Linked DNA regions of Schizosaccharomyces pombe. Changing the gene in region 1 together with any one later gene gives a genetic interaction. Each region holds a gene or a part of one and is shown in the gene's direction. Other genes may lie near its edges.

Region 1 (4,696 bases):
ACAAAAAACGCAGAGGTATAGCGGACAAGCATCCAGGTGTATTTGGCTCATCTAAGAACATTAAATCATAAGTTACCTGGAATATAACCAACTCACAAGACGATAATGCGAAGAGCAAACTTGGTTCTCCATTAGAGAAAACCAATTGTCTCACTGGTTGTGAGAATTTCCATATTGGATCCTCAGCAAACTCAAAAGCCGATACATTCAAGTAAAATGGGAATTCTTCAAAAGTTGCAGTATTTTGTAATGTCGGAGATGCACGAAAAATCCATGGAGACGAGAGGCATAAAAAGAGGAGATTTTCCGCAGTTTCATTGCTAATCTTGCTACAAGCAAGACATTCAGTTGTGGTGTATCTGTTTTTATCTGATGGCGCTGTTTTACCCAAGCAAAAAGTATTTAAAATATGTGGATTATATATAGACTCAGCAGAAGAAGCTAATTGAGACTCTTTCGCTAGTGTAGAAAATAAATTTCGCGGAACATATCTGCAAACACTTAAACCAAATGAACTACTAGTCGCTTTACGCGTGGAATTGGTGGCCTCAGCAGGAAGCTCAGTTAATTTAGGGAGTTTGTAGTTTGGATTTAAAGATAAGATATCCCATCTTTTGTCCAAGTCAACAAGCTCGACGCCCGTATAGGAGTCATACCTAGCAAAAGTCCATTCATTATTTTCAACCTTCTCCGCTCTGTGATAGCCAGATGGATTTAAAAGTTGACACGCCCCTATAATTCCATAATCCAAACTTACACTAGGTTTTTTACTAATTGCATCAATAGGCCATGTTGACATGAAGATAATTAGAAAAATAAAATTAGATTGAATTGTGTTTACAAAAACACATCTAACGACAATACAAGAGCAACCTAGCGACAAAGCAAGTAATCAGTGTTTCAAGGAAGCAATGCTGGAGTAATTTCACCTATAGTTAAGAACTTGACTTTATTGTTATACTATAATATATTTAAAGTGCTATCTTTAAACCATTATATAATTATATAAAATATAACTCCTACCGACTACATGCTTTCAATTGAACAATTTATTGATTTATGTTAACTGAGAATTTCTCTTTACTAGAAAAAGATGAAGTTTAAAAGTAATACTTAAATTAGTCATAAGACAGTGTTCAAGTAGGAGAGGAGTTCTTCTCCGAAGTCTCTAAGCTGCTATCAATTACATGTAGATTAACACAGCAACAAAACAATCTCCTTTACAATGAAATGCAAACGCTTACGATTTTGGAATGATTTAGCAATAGATAAATTGGTTTACGAATGTTGCATTAGCCCAGTTTTCCCTTTTCATAAAAAATACGTAAGGAGGTGCTGATACCTGAGGAAGAGTGCAATATTCAGATTAGCAAGTGTTTTGAATTCTCTTTAGTGTCCGCTTAACCAATTTTATCGATATGTTTATAATTTTGTAAAGTCAATAAGTTAGTTCAGCCTGTTATTTGTAAGTAATTTATTGTATGCAACGTCTAAAGGAGCTTGATACATTTTAACGTACCATTAAATATATTTAGACTTAAAAGCATCTTTCAAGTAATGTCAAGAAACCTAAAAAGACCGCTCGGCGACTTACATTCTAGCAAAACGTTGATTAAAAGAATGGCAATTAAGCTAGCTTCTACAAATATTTAGACTTTTAATAAAATGAAAATTAATTTTTCTTGCACAGAAACCCATACAAGTAAAGTTTATTAGTTAAAAAAAATGAAAGCTTCTGCAATGAACTTTCATTTTACGAACTTAATAAATATTTACACCGTATTGTTTACATTTAAATTTGTTACTTTAAGGTAGTTTTGATATATCTTCTTAAGCATTACGTCTTATGAAAATGTTATTATTTGGGTTGTAGTTCATCATTATATATATTGTGCATCGTACCACCGTGTGATTCTGGCTTTGTTTTCCCACATATTTTAGGTCTAACTAACACATATTTAATTAATTACTCTTTTTTACTAAAAGGACTCTGCTTGGTCGTTGTATACTTTGTATGCATCGCTTCTTTTGGTGAATTTTTTAATTCTTTGCAATCGCAGCAGAGAGAAAATAATTGTAATGAATTCGATTGCTAGGCTATCAGATGAAATTAATAAAGCAATCCTTGCCACTCCTTTAGACGACGATGAAGCTGACAAAGAAAAACTTGCTAATGCTCGGGGGCGAGCTTCATCAGCTACTTTGAGGCATTATAATCGTCGTAGATCGTCTTATTCGGCGTCCAGCCTTAGCAGTTTGTCATCAAAACCGACGGAAAAGGAAGTTCCTACAAGGAATGAAAAACCGAAGCATGCCAACATTATGCGTGTTGTCGTCTACTGGATTCGTGTGTTCCTGAAACGAATTTATACGTTTTTCGTTCATTCCGCTCGTGTATTTTTGTACCACTTTTTGAATGAAGAGAAAGAGTTTACCCTTGCAAGTTTTTTTTGGGGTCTATGCCGGTTTGTCTTTTTTCCTGTATTATTATCGTATAAACGCCGAGAGATGCTTCCCCCTCAGCCAAGTGTCCGCCGTCCTAGGTTTTATTCTTCTTATTCTTACCCATCCTCTCACCAGGATCCTGCCTATTCATCTTTCAAACGACATAGATCTTCTAATTCTTATAGCAGTTCTTCTAATGGAAATCATGTTCGTTTTCAGCCCTCTATTGCAGAAGAAGAAATTTCTTTCAATTCTTTTTCAAATTCATTGAATTCAGAAGAAGATGTGTGTGTTTCTCCTATGAAACCCAAAGAGGTCTCCCTAATGGGAAAAGCAAATTCCAATCGTTCAGGACATTCGCATCAACCTCAATCAACTCAGTTTTCCCCGCCTGCTAATGACAATATTTCTAAGCTGCCTTCCTCCTTTACGATAGTTAATGATCCTCTTAAATCTCCTTCTTCTTCCCGTCTCCGTATTAGAAACATTACTCTGTGTGCGGACAAAATACCGAGGCCTTTGTTGAATAGCAAGTTACCGAGAAAGACCCTTGTATTAGATTTGGATGAAACACTTATCCATTCCGTGTCTCGTGGTAGTCGAACGACTTCTGGACAGCCAATTGAAGTACATGTGCCTGGTGAACATCCAATCCTTTACTATATTCACAAAAGGCCTCATCTTGACTACTTTTTATCAAATGTGAGTCAATGGTTTCGCCTTATTTTGTTCACAGCATCTGTCCAGCCATATGCTGATCCAATAATTGATTATTTGGAGCGTGATAAAAAAATATTTGCTAAACGATACTACCGTCAACACTGTGCACTTGTCGATAGTTCTTTCGTTAAAGATATTTCCATTTGTAATATTCATCTTTCACGGATCATGATAATTGATAATTCTCCAGCCAGTTACAATGCTCATAAAGAAAATGCCATACCTATTGAAGGTTGGATTAGCGACCCCTCTGACGTTGATTTACTAAACTTACTTTCTTTTCTTCATGCACTGCAATATGTTCATGATGTGCGAGATCTTTTGGGGCTTCGTCTCGCAAAATAAGTGCTTTTCATGATTCCTTTTTTTTTTCGTGAGTAATTTACTCGTTATTTATCACCAGTAACGATGGTCTAAAATAACTTTTTCTACTGCATTAACATCTTGGGTGCCTTTCCTTTCTCATCATCAAACTTCTTTGTTATAACCTCAAAAGGGTACCTTTTGGATATTTCCTAGACCGCATTTGGGCCATTCCAGTTAAATAATTTTTGTTTCTTTTTGCTGATAATATGTCAATTAATGTAAGCCTAATCGTAAGAAATTCTTTCTAATAAACTAAACGCATGTTTTAAGAAAGATTAGTTTCTGCACTGATGTTCGCAGCAATTACGAAGGCAACTTACTTATGAAATTTCTTTCTAAATCAAGCTTTTAATAAACATGTTTATTCTATTTAAGTGTTGATTCTTTTTTTTTTACTTTTCAATCTGTTATTACAATCAACTTACTTAATCAGGATGGGCAAAGGATTATAAATGATTTAATGATTATAAACCAGATTACATAGACTTTTAGCATTTTAAAATCATATCACTAGGCTAACGACATTGTTCTAGCAAATAACATAACCCAAAACCACATTATTATTATATGTATCTAATAACACGAAAATTCAAAAAACCTAATATATGCAGAATTAATAGTTGAATCAATACCAACCACCACTTCTATTGAAGTTTAATACTTTTAACTAAACCAGCTTTAATACCAGTCTGCTCACCAGCATAGCCGCCCTGTGGTGCGCCCTTGTAAATAGCCTTTTTGCTGGCTAATTTCTTCTTAGCTTTTTCGTAGCGCATACGCTTTTTAAGTCGAGGATTTCTATTTTCTTTAGGTCGACGGGGAGTTAATCCTCTATTTTTAGCAATGTCTAAAGTAATTCCACGCTTATCACCTTCACCTAATTCAATTAGTTCTGGGTGCCTTGAAGCTCTTATTAAATCACGTTCGAGATCGTGATTTTCTTTACGGAGCTTTTTAGCCATCTTTGATTTTTTATCGAGAGACTCGTAATAATCCAAATCATCTTGATCTTCAACTTCACGATCGACATTTGCAGGTATGCCCATTGATTCCGGATCTTCATCATCAAGATCAGCACCAGCATCCTGATTTCGACCCCTGGCTGCAGCTTCTCTCATCAATCGCTGCTGGCGTTCAAATCTTCGTTCTTTGTATGGCATGTCCA
Region 2 (5,772 bases), on another chromosome or scaffold:
ACTAGGGGTTTTTCAAGGGAAGGGCAGCCAAGCCCTTTCCATAATTTCCAATTACCCTCAATATGTATAATTTCTTTAATGGTTCTTTGCACAGAACCACACCGGGCAGTATGTAAGAAACTATATGCTTCTTTGGATAATTCATTTAACTTTGAGGTCTACATATTAGCAATCAATAAAATCAGTTTTTTTCGAGTCTAAAAAAGAACATACATCTTCGTCAGACAAAATAACAATGGGAATTACCGCCTTATTTGTCCATTTTTCAAGAGTTCTCCTTTCAATTCGTTCTTTAGAATGGTCAAGCAAAAAGTCGAAAATAATAATTAATTGTAAAATAGCCTGTAACCGGAAATCTTCATCTGAAAGTTGGTATTCAAAAAGCGACCGAGAATATATATATTTAGAAGGAAATCCTTTATCCAAAGTTATATATTTTTCAGAAAGTAATGAGCTAGAGTTTGGATCAATTGTAGGGTTTGACTTCCCATTGAAGAACGTATTTTGTAATATAGATTCGAATGCCTGTATTGCAGAACCAGCTGCATCTATAAACTTAGGTAAGGTATCACTTGCTAGTAATTTAGGAGGGTTGGAGCACATACACTGCAAATCCCAATAAGCAGTAAATAAGGTATTAAGTTTTTTGTGATATGAGAGGTCTGTTCGGTCCGAAATGGGTGTGGATGGTGGTGACAGTTCTACCTTCCCAAAAGAATGAACAGTATTATAATCTCCACGTAAATTGGCTCCACTCCGTTCTTCAGGGGGGAAAGCCTTACTTAGCAGAATATCGATCCGCCCACAAAAAGATGAATTTTCTTGCCGAGAAAGACGCCGGAGTAATTCATTTGATATCCGAAGCAAAACGGGTCCTCTTCCACGATTGCTGACAATACCTTTCATCAAGCTAGGTCTGGTTTCAAAATATTCATATAATTTGGCGCATTCGTTGACGGTGTGAATGTCCATCAGCTCTTCCAAGATTAGAAAAGGCAACAGGTGATCACAGAAGCTTTCGTTAATTTCGTTCCCTATTACTAAGAGATCCAAAATCGCAAATAAACATTTTAATCGCTCCTCCAATCCAATCTCACTTTTGCGCTACACGAAAATAACAATTAGTAACTTAAGGAAAACTTCATTATGGAAAAAGCACATACTGCTGTTTCATAACAGCAAAATCTTATTGCCGTTTCAAACTCAGTTGAGTTATGAAAACTCTCAACAATCGAAGGCCATAATTCTTTGATGAATAATTCATATTCAGAACAAAGTGGACTCTTATCCAGTTCTTTTGCCTTTTCTAATGGATATGTATTATAAAAAGCTTCAATTAAACCCTTTTGCACCTCCATTACTTTAAAAGTCTGCGAATATACAATCCGCGCGCAGAAACGTGAGTTTATCTAGCATTGACAATGTCATTTAGAAATAAGGATTTATTCGTTATTGCTTTGTGTGGTTCATTGCTTCTCGCTATAACAGGAGCAGCATGAAGGAATATGTAATTTTGCCCTTAACCAAACAACAAAGTATTTTCTTAAATTTGCAGTGAGTCTGAAAATGAGACTTTATTTAAGAAATTGATAGGATATGAGTGTCAATGAAGATCTATCCCATTTAGGGGTTTTTTCGGTTGACCAAGAGAATTTGGAACGCGATGTTACGAATACTGCTAGTGAGTACATTGCACATGAAAGTCGAGAGATCGAAAAGAAGAGACTTCAAAAAGTCAGGAAAGAAATATCTTCTGTAAAAGAAAAAATACGTCGCCTTGATGAGCGTATAGACAGTCGACTTACAAAAATAAGTGTCAAGGAGAACTTCCGCAAACAATTATCTAAATTCCGAGACACTCTTCAAAGTTTACAATCAGACGAAAATGATATTAAGAGAAGACTTAATAACGAAGATTCGGCAAATGCCCCTGGTATAGGTGCATTTTCGACTGAAGAATTGGAAAGACAAGAGCTCATCCGTACTGGTAAGGTTACACCGTTTCGAAATCTCTCTGGACTACAAAAAGAAGTTGATTTTGATGATGAATCTAGCATTCGTGAGGCTGTTATAAAGTCTGAAGGAACATACTATGAAACGGCACCTCATTTGAGTTCGGAGCCGTCAAATATTGATCATGGGATTATTCCAAGAGACGAAAAAGATGAGTACGTAACTGTGGATGCTGTTACGGAGAAAGTAGTAACTGCCGCTATAGATGATGGAGATGATTTGGTATATCGACAAAGGCTTAATGCTTGGTGTGCGAATCGTAAGGAATTACGAGATCAGGCCTCAGCATCTGAAAACAATAAAGATAGAGGAGAGTTTGAAGGTAAAGATGAGTGGTTACTACCTCATCCTTCCAAAAAAGGACAGACTTTTGAGGGTGGATTTACCATCCCAGGTGATATTCGCCCACATCTTTTCCGTTATCAAGTCACTTGCGTACAATGGTTATGGGAACTCTATTGTCAAGAGGCCGGAGGAATCATTGGTGATGAAATGGGACTAGGAAAAACTATTCAAATAGTATCTTTCCTTTCGTCTTTGCATCACTCTGGCAAATTTCAAAAGCCTGCACTTATCGTTTGTCCAGCGACTTTAATGAAGCAGTGGGTTAATGAGTTTCATACATGGTGGGCTCCATTACGTGTTGTTGTTCTTCATGCTACTGGCAGCGGACAGCGTGCTTCACGCGAAAAGAGACAGTATGAATCTGACGCTTCTGAAAGTGAAGCGGAAGAAAGCAAAACCTCCATAAAATTAAGAGGTGCTTCAAGTTCATTCCACAGATACGCTAAGAACTTAGTTGAAAGTGTCTTCACTAGAGGCCACATTTTAATTACAACATATGCTGGTTTAAGGATATATGGTGATTTGATTTTACCACGGGAATGGGGTTATTGTGTTTTGGATGAAGGGCACAAAATACGAAACCCAGATTCTGAAATATCTATTTCGTGTAAGCAAATCCGTACTGTGAATAGGATTATCCTCTCAGGGACTCCGATCCAGAACAACCTTACCGAGCTTTGGAATTTATTTGATTTTGTATTTCCTGGAAGATTGGGTACATTACCGGTATTTCAAAATCAATTTGCCTTACCTATTAATATTGGTGGTTATGCCAATGCTTCAAATGTTCAAGTGCAAACCGCTTATAAATGCGCCTGCATGCTTCGAGATTTAATTTCTCCTTATTTACTTAGAAGAATGAAGCTTGACGTTGCTGCAGATTTACCTAAGAAGTCCGAACAAGTATTGTTCTGTAAGCTGACTCCTTTACAAAGGAAAGCTTACCAAGATTTTTTGCAAGGCTCTGATATGCAAAAGATCTTGAACGGAAAGCGTCAAATGCTTTATGGAATTGATATACTACGAAAAATTTGTAATCATCCAGATCTTGTAACTCGAGAGTACTTGTTACATAAAGAAGATTACAACTATGGTGATCCTGAAAAGTCTGGCAAACTGAAGGTTATTAGAGCATTACTAACTTTGTGGAAAAAACAAGGACATAGAACTCTTCTATTTTCTCAGACTCGCCAAATGCTCGACATACTGGAAATAGGATTAAAGGATTTGCCGGATGTTCATTACTGTCGCATGGATGGTAGCACATCTATTGCTTTAAGACAAGATTTGGTGGACAACTTTAATAAAAATGAGTATTTTGATGTGTTTCTTCTAACTACTCGTGTTGGTGGATTAGGAGTCAATTTGACTGGTGCTGACAGGGTAATTCTTTTTGATCCTGATTGGAATCCCTCAACGGATGCTCAAGCACGTGAACGTGCTTGGAGACTGGGCCAAAAGAAAGATGTAGTAGTTTATCGGTTGATGACTGCTGGAACTATTGAAGAAAAAATTTATCATCGTCAAATCTTTAAGCAGTTTCTGACTAACAAAATTTTGAAAGATCCAAAACAAAGAAGGTTTTTTAAAATGACGGACTTGCACGATTTGTTTACGTTAGGCGATAACAAGACTGAGGGCACTGAGACAGGCAGCATGTTTTTGGGATCTGAACGAGTACTTCGAAAGGATAATTCCTCAAGAAATGGCAATGAAGCTGAAGATATTCCAGCTCGTGACCGAAAAAAGCACAAAATTCACGACAAAGGTAAAAAAGTTAACAGCTCCAAAGTGTTTGAAAAAATGGGGATTGCATCGATGGAAAAGTATAAACCACCGCAAGAGTCAAATGTTACTAAGACAAACTCTGATTCGACTTTAGGGGATGATTCCGTCCTTGATGATATTTTTGCTAGTGCTGGTATTCAGAGTACTTTAAAGCACGACGATATCATGGAAGCCTCCCAGACTGAAAGCATATTGGTTGAAAAAGAAGCGACGCGTGTTGCTAATGAAGCTCTGCGTGCAGTTTCATCTTTTCGGCGACCTCCTCGTCAACTTATACCTCCGCAGCAATCTACTAATGTTCCTGGTACTTCTAAACCATCAGGTCCGATTACTTCAAGCACTCTTCTTGCCCGACTAAAACAGAGACGATGAATTAATTAGAAGAAGTTCGCCTTAGAGTAAGCTGTATCCATTAAAATTTCGGACCCAATCTTGTACCCATTTATTTATTTATTATTATTTCCCTTTATTTTGTACATTAAGTTTTTCATGATTTAAGCTTTATTTATGGATTTATTGATAGACACGCGATCATTTCATTTTTTGAATGGGAATTATCCTTATTACTAGGTGGGTTTACTTTGCTTGAAAAGTATTGGAAATGTCAATTCCATGTTGAGGATAGGGCTGTCGGAATTACTTTGATCATTTTTCCCTTTTGTTAAAGTACTTGGTTAAAGTGTGTTAATGTTATTGTAAGCAAGCACTTGACAAATTCGCTTTACCTGAGACCTAAAATTAGCGTTAATAACTTTCTAGTTGGCTGAGAAAAGTATGAACACTCAAAGCGGCTTAGTTAGTGGTATGTGCAACCCGTGCAACCCTTTTTGTAGCTATAAATTACTACGTTCTTTTGTCAACGTTATTAGAATGCTAGAGTCATGTTTGTTGACAGTGTCAGAAAAGACCTTTTAATTAGAAAACTAGTGGTTCAAAAATTTTGATGTCTTGGTGCTTATTGGCGAACTTATTACTAGTACTTTTTCATTTTATATAAATTAATATTTGTATATAAGCAATGCAACCGCATCTAACCATTTTTACACACATATTTGGTTTTACCAAAAACTTGACTCGTTAATTAATTTTGGGAGCTGCAACCAACGCTGTACTTTCGTAAGATTACTTGAAATTCGAAGTCTATGTAGTTCGCTGAAACAAAATAAGACTCTGCTTCAAACAATGTTCTCTGTTGGTAAAAAAATCTCTTTTATTTTGCCTATTAAGGGCGTATTGCAAAAATTAAAGGATAATGCTCAAAAAACCGTTCTCTTGGATGCTACTTGGTACTTGCCAACAGACACTAAAAACGGAAAGAAGGAGTATTTAGAAAGTCGTCTTCCAGGTGCTCAATACTTTGATATAGATGAGGCTAAAGATCACAAAAATCCCCTTCCTCATATGCTTCCTCCAGCTGACGAATTCGCCTCTTACGTTGGAAAATTAGGAATTGACAGAAACGTAAGTAGTAGTTTAGAAATTCCAATTACTTAGTCTTCAATTTTACTAATATTTTAGACCAATGTTATCATTTATGACCGAAAAGGGTTTTTTTCGTCTCCTAGGGTTTTCTGGACCTTTAAAGTCTTTGGTCATGAGCATGTTTTCTTATTTCCTAATGCGTTT
Region 3 (4,177 bases), on another chromosome or scaffold:
TCTGAAGAAGCATGGATTTTCTTTGCATTATCTCCGACACTTTGAACTGTTTGCTCATTTTCTTTTAGTGTTGGTGAAATGCCATTTTCCATATGCGTAGGCATAACCTTATCTGAACCCTCAGCTTCCTCTACCTTACCCAAAGAACTAACTTCCATTGCGCTAGTTCCAAAAGGGACGATATAGTCATTGGTAGTATTTGCAAATAATATTCTTTTTTCAAAAAACGAAACAGCTTGAAAGAAAGGCGTGGAAGGATCAGACATCAAAACAAGGAAAGGTCTTGATTCAATGGAGTGATTCAGTGGAGTTAAAGATAAGTCTTGTCCTGTCTTACCAATGATACCATAGGACAAAGCCTTACCAATATAAGAAGGATGTTCACCAGCAACACCGAGCCAAGGAGTTGCCAAAGTTACAAAAAACACAGGGTGAATAGCCTGAAAAAAGGCACCGTGCGTTTTTGCATGTACATAACCAACAGCATATGTTTGAACCAATCCACCAAGTGAGTGGGCGACAACTGATATATGGGAATATCGAGGAAAAGATGCACTTCCCCAGCCCGTAATATCCAACAGCCATTCACCAAGTCGTTTACCCAGCCAGCGAACCCCTTTCTCAGTCTGACAGTAGTTACCGGTAAATCCTCGAACAACTACTAGTTCCTTAACAGATTTTGATGATTCTATTAGTTTTTCTTTTAAATACTCCATATCAGCACCAACATTAGAATGCATTCCATGAGTTAGCACCACCAAATGTGAATTCTTTGAATGAAATGAAGAATACGGAAGACGCCATAAATTTTCCGGAGTTTGATGTTCAACGTGTAGAGCAGGGAATGCATGAAGAGTATCGATATCAGCAGCTGACATGGCTCGAATGGAATGTTGAGATTGCGATATAGCAAGCTCAAAGTTAATAGATCTATCTTTAAAAATCGCCTGACTTGCAATTTCAATGTAAATAGGCTGCTGATTGGAAAAACATGAATAAGGTACACAGACCCAAAAACTAGTAGAGGGCTGTACCTGAGGATCAAAGTTTAATAAAGAATTTTTTTCATCAAAAAATTGGTCATTCCAAACGCTAACGCATAATGTAAATGGACCTTGAAGATAGGCTGCCTGGCGGAAACGTGCTTCTCTATTCCTGACACGAATCCAAAGTACCGAGTTAGTCGAATTTATGAAGGGAGCTGTAGAGTCGCTTCCTGCCAAGGGATTTTTTACTTCACGAAGATTAATAGAAGAGAATGAAGTACCTACAGAAGGAGAAGAAGAGGTATGAGAGACACCTCTTGTTTGTTCAGGTATGTTGATTGCATTGGTATTATCTGTAAACGCACCAACTTTATGATAATCTTTTGAAGAAGATGAAAAATCGCTGGAAAGAAGAGGTGAGGATTCTGAATTTGCATGCTTCGGATTCGTGCTACTATTATTCTCTGAGATTTGCTTGCTGATATTCTCCCCACTAGAGATTGTCATCCCACCTGAACCTGCTCTATCCTCGATGCTACCACTCTCTTTCTTAGTCACTGAATTGAGGTTCACAGTGGGGGGCACAGTTGTAGAAGACGTTGCCGAATGCAAATTGCCCCCACTCTGCACAAAAATTCGAAATCGATGTATTTGACCTAAACCAACTGTACCATGCCAATGTTAGAACAAGTATTAAATATTTATATGCCATCCCAAAATTTTTGCATCGAAACAAGCATAACAAATCGAAACTTTAAATAACGAGCTGATAATATCAACTTGCAAATACAATTTAAAGGAGTGGTAAATTTTGTTTAAAGTAACTTACCGTCATCTCGTTGTACATATACATTCATAATGTCAGAAGTCAAGCGATGACAACTCAAAAACTAGTAAATCTGAAAATTAGCTATTCGTGAAAGGTGAGAGATATCAATTATTTTTCAATACCGGTCAACGAATAGGGATAAAATTTTATCTGTTTCAATTAGTAAATCGCTAGTTGCTCATATCACGTAAAAAGTAACGCGAATTTATCAGTGTCCTACCGGTAAAATTTGTTCGCTCGATTCCTTTGTTAGACTAGCTGTTCGACGAACCTATATAAACTCAGTTTTTCTAATTTTTGAGCAAAAGCAAAAATCGAACGACTTCACGGGAAATAAAGCAAGATGGTAAGAGATGCATAAAAAGCTTTCTTTAATGAAGAAGACACCAAAATTGAGTCCTTTGCTAACAATTAAAGTCGTATAATGGAATTGGATTACCCACTCCAAGAGGATCAGGAACAAATGGATACGTAATGCGGAATCTGTCTCACGTAAAAAAATATGACAAAAATACAAATCTACAGTCAAATCGAAATGCAAAAGCTCTGGAAAAACGGGTTCAAGATCCTTCAATAAGCGAGCATGAATGCCGTCGACAAATTGAGTCGAAGTTGTTGTTGTACAGAGAGCAGTTGTTGGAGGAGGTCAGTTCCCAACACAGCACTGATGCAGCGGCATCTGATTCCAATACAAATTTTGGGACTGAAAACCCGAAGCCACCTAAAGCAATTATAAAAGATGAGCAATCACAATCGAAAACTAAATCTTTAGATGAAGCTGATGTAGAAATTTTAGTACAAAAATATCGAGAACAGTTACTTAAAGAATTGCAATTACAAAAATCTACTGAAAAAGGAAAAAATTTTGAATCCATTCTTCAACCTCAGAAAAGAAAAGAAACAAGAGGATTTCACTCGAAAAATGACGATGATGGGCGATTAGAAGAAAGAGACGATTTGAGATCATCAGTTGACGATGATTATTATGATTACCCGCGTTATTCCGAGAGGAAATCATTAAATTCAAAAAGGCATGTGGACAATTACAATGAAAATAGAAGAAGACATTACGATTCGTATTCCTCCTACGATGAATTAGAAAGACGACGGAGTAGTAATGAAAGTTACTCAAGGCGTTCTGAATTACCCAGAAGAGATTATAATAGACACGATGAACGGGAAAGGTATTCTTATCATAGAAGGAGAGAAAGAAGCAATTCACCCTCCTATACGAAGAATGAGTCAATTCCTGTTGTGGACAGGGATTCCTCTCCTGAGGGTGGCGAAATTGTATGAGGCCCAAAGAGTTAGGCCAGTTAAAACAATAATATAATAGGCAATTCATGCAAGCATGTATTGTTTATTAATATTGGATAATTATTCGGGTCATCAACAATCGTTGGATTAATATGAATATTTGGTTAGCAATACACGTTAGTCAAATCCCATGAAGCACACGACTGTTCAATGATATAAAAAATATTATTCTTCAAAGAAAAAATACTATCGACTTTATATTAAGGCTGTTAAGTTGCACGATTTAAACATCATTTGATATTTTTCTTTTTCACGGAGGGATAATGAAGCAATTTTAAATTTACAATTACGCTTTTACATTTGTATTTTAAATTCATTAATTAAGCATAAAAGAATCTTTTTAATAAAGATTTTCGAGATTATTCACGCGATTTTAGTCAAAGTAGCTCTTGGCGGCTTTGTTTTCCTGCATACTGTAAATCTCAGAGCTTTTATACCAATAATGTTTATTATATATATTTTACAAAATGAACTTGCTTTAAAGCAATATTAATTATATAATAAAACCAATTTATAAAAAAAATTATAATATAAGTTTAATTATAAATAATACAATTTTTATTTTCTGATGATCTTCGGATCACTTTGGTCAAATTGAAACGATACAGAGAAGATTGTAAGTAACAATATTTACCAAGGTTCGAGTCATACTAACTCGTTGTTTAGAGCATGGCCCCTGCACAAGGATGACACTGCGACATTGAGAGAAAACCCATTTTTTTTTCTAAACAAAATTAATCATACATTCAAATCTTGATTTCCAATCGCTTTAACTTTTTTAAAATAAATATCTATTGTTTCATATAACTTTCAATTTCCTAGATACTACAGTACATTAAACACGTATTACAACTTCTTGCTAAGTCGCAAAGCATTAATTAATTAGTTTTCTGTAGATAATTGAAAAGAAAAAAAACATTTTTTCATCGAAATTTTTTATTGGACAGGTAAATATATTTAACGCGATTACTCTATCGAAATCTGAATTAAAAACTAGTTAAAAATTTTCGACTAGCTTGTTTGTTACTATCGCCAATATACCAAG
Region 4 (4,978 bases), 910 kb from region 1:
AAGACGCTCAAGTATTAAAAAATATAAATTCACATTTCGTTCATTATTCTTTAGAGTGTTAGCTCTGCAGACTCTGCTGATTTTTATTTTGTTTTCGCAAGTAGTAACCAAATTATAGAACCTCTTTGACCTCCTCGGAGAGGAGACTCCCGCAGCTACTACTACCGAGAAGAAAACCGCTGCTTCTCGTGACAAAAAGCGCTCCGACAGCCCTCCTGTCCCCCGCGAATTAGTCGCTCAAAGCACCACCTCTAGGAAGCGTGACCCTAACCAACCCACTCCTCGTGAGCGTACCGTTAATAAGAAGGCAGACCAACCTCGCAGACGCCGTCAAGCTCCTCAAGGAAACGAAGCCTTTGCTCGTGAAGGCAAAGAAGCTCGTGCTAACAACGCTGCCCATCCTGTGGATGCCACTGGCGCCCCCTCCAACCGCCGCAATGCTCGTGCTCGCCGTGGTCGTGAATTTGACCGCCATAGCCAAACTGGTAGAGTGTATGTGTTTTATTTTTCTACATGTGAATGCCAAATTATATAATTGCTAACCATTATTTTAGTGATACCAAGAAGGCTACTGAACGTGGCTGGGGTGATCTCGTAAACTCTGCTGCTAACCCTGATGTTGCAGAGAACGAAGGTAACACTCCCTCTGGAGCCCAAACTCCTGCTGCCGAGGAGGAAAATGTTAAGACTCTTGATGAATATCTGTCTGAACGCAAGTCCGCCGCAAAGCCTGTTGGTCGTACTGTTGAGAAACTTGAAAACGCTACTAAGGTCGAGAAGAGTGCCCCCGAAGAATTGTTTGCCTCTCTTAAGAAGAGCGCTTCTCAAAAGAAGTCTGCTGCCAAGGAAAGCAAGCCAAAGAAGGTTCTTCTTGATATCGAGCAAACTTTTACTGCTCGTCCTGCTCGCGGTGGCCGTCCTAACCGTGCTCCCCGTCGTGGTCCTTCAGAAACTGCCTCAAAAACCCAACAGGCACCTCCCACCCTTTCTGAGACTGACTTTCCCGCTCTTGCATAGATGAACTGGTGACTTGAGAGTAGCCTATTGATGTGGAGCGTTTGATTGGTCTTGGATGAAATTTCGTTGTCAAGCGTATGTGGAAAGGTGTGTGTTATCTTACAGATCCCTTTTTGTTTATTTTCCATTGAGCATCATTCGGGTTTCTAGGTTATTCAGTGATTCTTATCATTAAAGCGGTCTAAGGTGTATTCTGTGGTTGCATTCCCTTTTTTGATCCACATTTTGCGATGAATTGACTAAATATTTTTCAAAATGGTCGAATACTAGTGTGTAAAAAAAATTTCATTCTCGTATCTATTCACAACTAATATTAAGAAGATGCGCGTTTAAATCGTCTACCGACTGTTATCTTGATATAACGTATCTTATTTTTAATCTGTAAATATCAGCCTTAGTAATTGTGTACATAACAAAAGCATATTTCAGTGTACGGTAGGTCTGCCTGTGCAATTCACAAATACTCCATTTATTATTCCAATTGATTTTGTCATTTTCAAATGTCGTTTGCAGGGATATTGAAACGGACGTTGAATAAAGCCTTCTTAACCTTGTAAAATGACTATAGGAAAGTTATGAACGAGTTTGTGTATCGGTAACATAACAGGTAAATCACTCTTCATAATGCAAATTGCGGTTTACTTTTTATAGCATCATTTTTGATAGCTATTTAAAAAATTTGAAAGTTAATATAATTAATAAACTCGAGGATATGAGCAAACTGATAAAACGCGCTATATCGCGAATTCGCGCTTTAAAGGGCGTCGCGTCGCGTTGCGTTGGACACCGCTTATATACGTGCCACAAGTACGCAACAATCGACGAGTCGCAAAAAAACTGTCTCTGATTATTACTTTTCCTTCTGATTCTCTGCTACTAGGAATCTTTATATTGGTTTCCGTTTAGAAAAAATAACAAGATGGATAGGTCAATGGAACCATTGACCCCATCTCGTTTAAACACTTTGGGGGAAAGGCCAACAAACGAAGTGTATGAGTATGGAAAAGGAAAAAATGTGCAACATTTATTTCCTATAACACCGATGCAGAGACCATTAGGAAAAGAGAATGCGGCTCCAGGGACGATTTCACCGATTGCGGTTCGATCTCGAAATGTGCGTGCAGTAGAAATTGCAGATGAAAATGCATGTGAAGAGCCAGTCTTAAAAATAAAATCTGTTAGTAGTACGGAGAGTGAAGAGGAAAAAGAATCTTCTACTGAGATAGGAGAGAAACAGGAAAAAGAAACACATTTAGAACCCAAGACACCAGTACAAACCAATACCAACAATAATCACTTAGACGACATTCAGTGTTGTGCTAAAAACTTACGCTTACGTCTTGAATTGGCTATGTATAAAGTACAAGTTAATCAAACATTTTCCCCTCTGCAAGATCTTCCCATTGTCGCTAAAACGAAGCTTCACAATTGTCCAAACTCTGAACCTGTTACCTCCATATGGAACCAGAGATCGCTTTCTTCTGGAAAGCCTCCGTCCTTACATCTTTCAGGGAATCGCAGGCTTTCCATGGGATCTCCCACGAAGTCGATATATGATCAGAATGGTTTGACAACGCCAAGACCGATCGGTTCTGATGATCTAACACATATGTATGATCCTTATACCTCTCCTTTACGCACCCCTTCTCGTACGCTATCACGCTCCTCCTCTCATTATCTGTGGGTTCGTCATGGTAAATTGACACGTAGCGTATCTCTTTTACAACATAAAACGCCTAGACGCATTCGGCCAAAATCACTTTCTAAAAGCAATTCTACACCGTTAAAGCATTTAAGCGCTCAGAAACCAAATTCAAATTACTATACTGGCCCGCCTACTCCAGTATCCATATCCAACACTCCAGAAAACATTCATCCATCATCTTCCGAAGTAAGGCGTATTGCAAGTCACAGCAAGCAATTTTCAGACTATGGTTTAATTCGATGATCCTTCTTTTTACATTTTAAACCGAGTTATGGAATAATGTTATGAGATGATTTTTATAATACTTTAATTACTCTAGTTGTCGTTCATTTCCTTTCTGACAGATTTCTATATGTGAATTATTTTGAAATGCAAAAAATAACTTTTAATTCCTCGCAACACGTTCTTTTATTTCTTACTTGTTATGTAACAAGTCAGTCGTTAATAAAATTATTATCGCTGGTAAAGCCATCCTTCGTTTTATTTAATGCCTTAATTCATACGTACATCTTATATTGAGGTTTCTAGATTTCTTATATCCATTGAAATTCGTTCCCTCCGTTTGGGATCCAGTTTTTTAAGATATTACGAAGAATTTGCTTTTGCTGGCAACGTTTGATGTTGAGTTTCTTCCATTCATAATAGTTTTTTTCATTAGTCAACGATTGACTTAATTGATGCAGCAAATTCATCATACTCTTTCTACATATTAATGTTTGAGACTTTTCAACGTCTTTAGCTTTTGTTCCCGCTTTAATACCATTATGTATCACTTGAGTACACTGCATTTTATCACCGATCCATATCAAAACGTTTGTACTAGTTGCAGTTTTTTCTGCTTGGTTCAACGGCCGTGAATATAAAAAATTTTCATCCGTTTCCAGCACGGTAAAAGGATGAAAGTAATAAGGATTATCCTTTTCTCCAAATTCAGCAAGTGGTGCGCACCGACCAAAGGGTCCAAATGCTCTGTCAATTGCTGATTTAACTATCACTTTTTTATAAAGCACTACACATGATAAATAGATGGGCTCACAAATGAGGCTGGTCTGGGAATTCAAAATAGAAAGATATTGTTTTGCAGCTAATTTATCAGTACAGCTTTTGCTCCAGCTTACTGGGGCATCAGGTCTCCCCGGTTTAGTACGCACGATTCCAAGTAGTCCAAAATCCGCCCTCCCACGCATTAATTTCTCTGAATCAACTGTTAAGTTCCATGGTTTGTTGTTTTCCAAGCGGCTAGCTAGTAGCTCCATACTCGCATCTCCGCAAGGACATTCGGAAACGTACAGATGTATCAGAAGATTGCTGTTTAGAGTAAATTTACCATTATCAGCAACTTCAAGAAGCCACGTATCTTTCTTTGATTCTTTAATTAAAATACAATGTTCGAGAAGTAATCTTAATTCTTTTATTAGTAACGAATACTAACAAATATACAAATAATTGTATATATTACCTGTTAAAACATCTTAATGCCAGAATCTCAGCATGACAATCATGTAATACACTACCCAGTTGTTCATTCTTAATGATGCCAGCTGGCGTACTAAATTGACTTGTTAATGAAAAAAATCAATTGGTAGCATACCATTTTACACCTGTTCTTTAGATGTCAGTTTACCGATATTAATAAAAAAGACGTACGCTAGACAAACACAAATAAATTCGTTCTCCATCTTTTTCTGAATGACAACACCGGCTAAAGTAGTCCATTCACGCACCCCATTTGCTCTTATGATCGGTTTGCCATGACGGGCTAGTTCATCAAATTTGTTAAGGACTGCAAGAGCTATTAAATTCCCAACATTACTGTTTCTATCTAGGGTAAATTCTTCCATTTTCTAATGAATTTCATAAATCCATACTTTATATTCAATTGTATTAAGAAAAGAGTACTTCGGGAGCGTAAATCCTGTGATATGTTGTGACCGTAATTAAATACTAATATTTTGTTTCCAACTGTTAATTAATAACAATTGGGTATTCCTAATAGCAAAGCTTATTCGCTGTAAGTGATTGAAGTACAAATGTTGGCAAAAGCATTTGTGGTAGTGTGTTGAAGCAAGTAATTTTGTCTGCATACGAGTAATTTACCAACTACCACAACTATTAGAATGTCACTTTTTGGACAGGCTACAACATCTACAGTATCTAATGCAACCGGTGACTTAAAAAAGGATGTGGAGGTTTGTTAATTTTACATATACGCTACTTACATTTGCTAATTACACGATAGGTTGCCCAACCCCCGGA

Evidence for each region.
Region 2: mutations in nem1 (region 1) and rhp26 together harm fitness more than expected from each alone (negative genetic interaction), as found in Schizosaccharomyces pombe (one large-scale study listed by BioGRID).
Region 3: mutations in nem1 (region 1) and cwf21 together harm fitness more than expected from each alone (negative genetic interaction), as found in Schizosaccharomyces pombe (one large-scale study listed by BioGRID).
Region 4: mutations in nem1 (region 1) and nrm1 together harm fitness more than expected from each alone (negative genetic interaction), as found in Schizosaccharomyces pombe (one large-scale study listed by BioGRID).

Annotation. Positions count from the first base shown.
Region 1 is NC_003423.3:3,371,386-3,376,081, forward strand, and holds nem1 (Nem1-Spo7 phosphatase complex catalytic subunit Nem1), read left to right. Parts: upstream 1-1,916; 5' UTR 1,917-2,079; coding exon 2,080-3,510; 3' UTR 3,511-4,167; downstream 4,168-4,696. Other genes in the region: RNA polymerase I transcription factor subunit Rrn6, read right to left, coding at 1-799; U3 snoRNP-associated protein Utp3, read right to left, coding at 4,176-4,696. UniProt on the Schizosaccharomyces pombe protein: Catalytic component of the nem1-spo7 complex which acts as a phosphatase and may be required for proper nuclear membrane morphology.
Region 2 is NC_003421.2:1,178,382-1,184,153, reverse strand, and holds rhp26 (SNF2 family helicase Rhp26 ), read left to right. Parts: upstream 1-1,515; 5' UTR 1,516-1,596; coding exon 1,597-4,518; 3' UTR 4,519-5,222; downstream 5,223-5,772. Other genes in the region: THO complex subunit Tho1, read right to left, coding at 1-158, 214-1,104, 1,164-1,358; thiosulfate sulfurtransferase Tum1, read left to right, coding at 5,329-5,607, 5,665-5,772. UniProt on the Schizosaccharomyces pombe protein: Involved in transcription-coupled repair (TCR).
Region 3 is NC_003424.3:2,561,945-2,566,121, reverse strand, and holds cwf21 (protein Cwf21), read left to right. Parts: upstream 1-1,871; 5' UTR 1,872-2,158; coding exon 2,159-2,161; exon of another isoform or gene 2,162-2,232; coding exon 2,233-3,111; 3' UTR 3,112-3,645; downstream 3,646-4,177. Other genes in the region: rog1 (lipase), read right to left, coding at 1-1,651, 1,816-1,843. UniProt on the Schizosaccharomyces pombe protein: Involved in pre-mRNA splicing. May function at or prior to the first catalytic step of splicing at the catalytic center of the spliceosome. May do so by stabilizing the catalytic center or the position of the RNA substrate.
Region 4 is NC_003423.3:4,284,106-4,289,083, forward strand, and holds nrm1 (protein nrm1), read left to right. Parts: upstream 1-1,838; 5' UTR 1,839-1,936; coding exon 1,937-2,965; 3' UTR 2,966-3,255; coding exon of another isoform or gene 3,256-4,123; 3' UTR 4,124-4,181; coding exon of another isoform or gene 4,182-4,271; 3' UTR 4,272-4,313; coding exon of another isoform or gene 4,314-4,328; 3' UTR 4,329-4,369; downstream 4,370-4,978. Other genes in the region: oga1 (protein stm1), read left to right, coding at 119-492, 555-1,017; tad1 (tRNA specific adenosine deaminase), read right to left, coding at 3,256-4,123, 4,182-4,271, 4,314-4,328, 4,370-4,563; nucleoporin Rae1, read left to right, coding at 4,840-4,911, 4,962-4,978. UniProt on the Schizosaccharomyces pombe protein: Negative regulatory component of the MBF complex involved in cell-cycle-dependent transcription.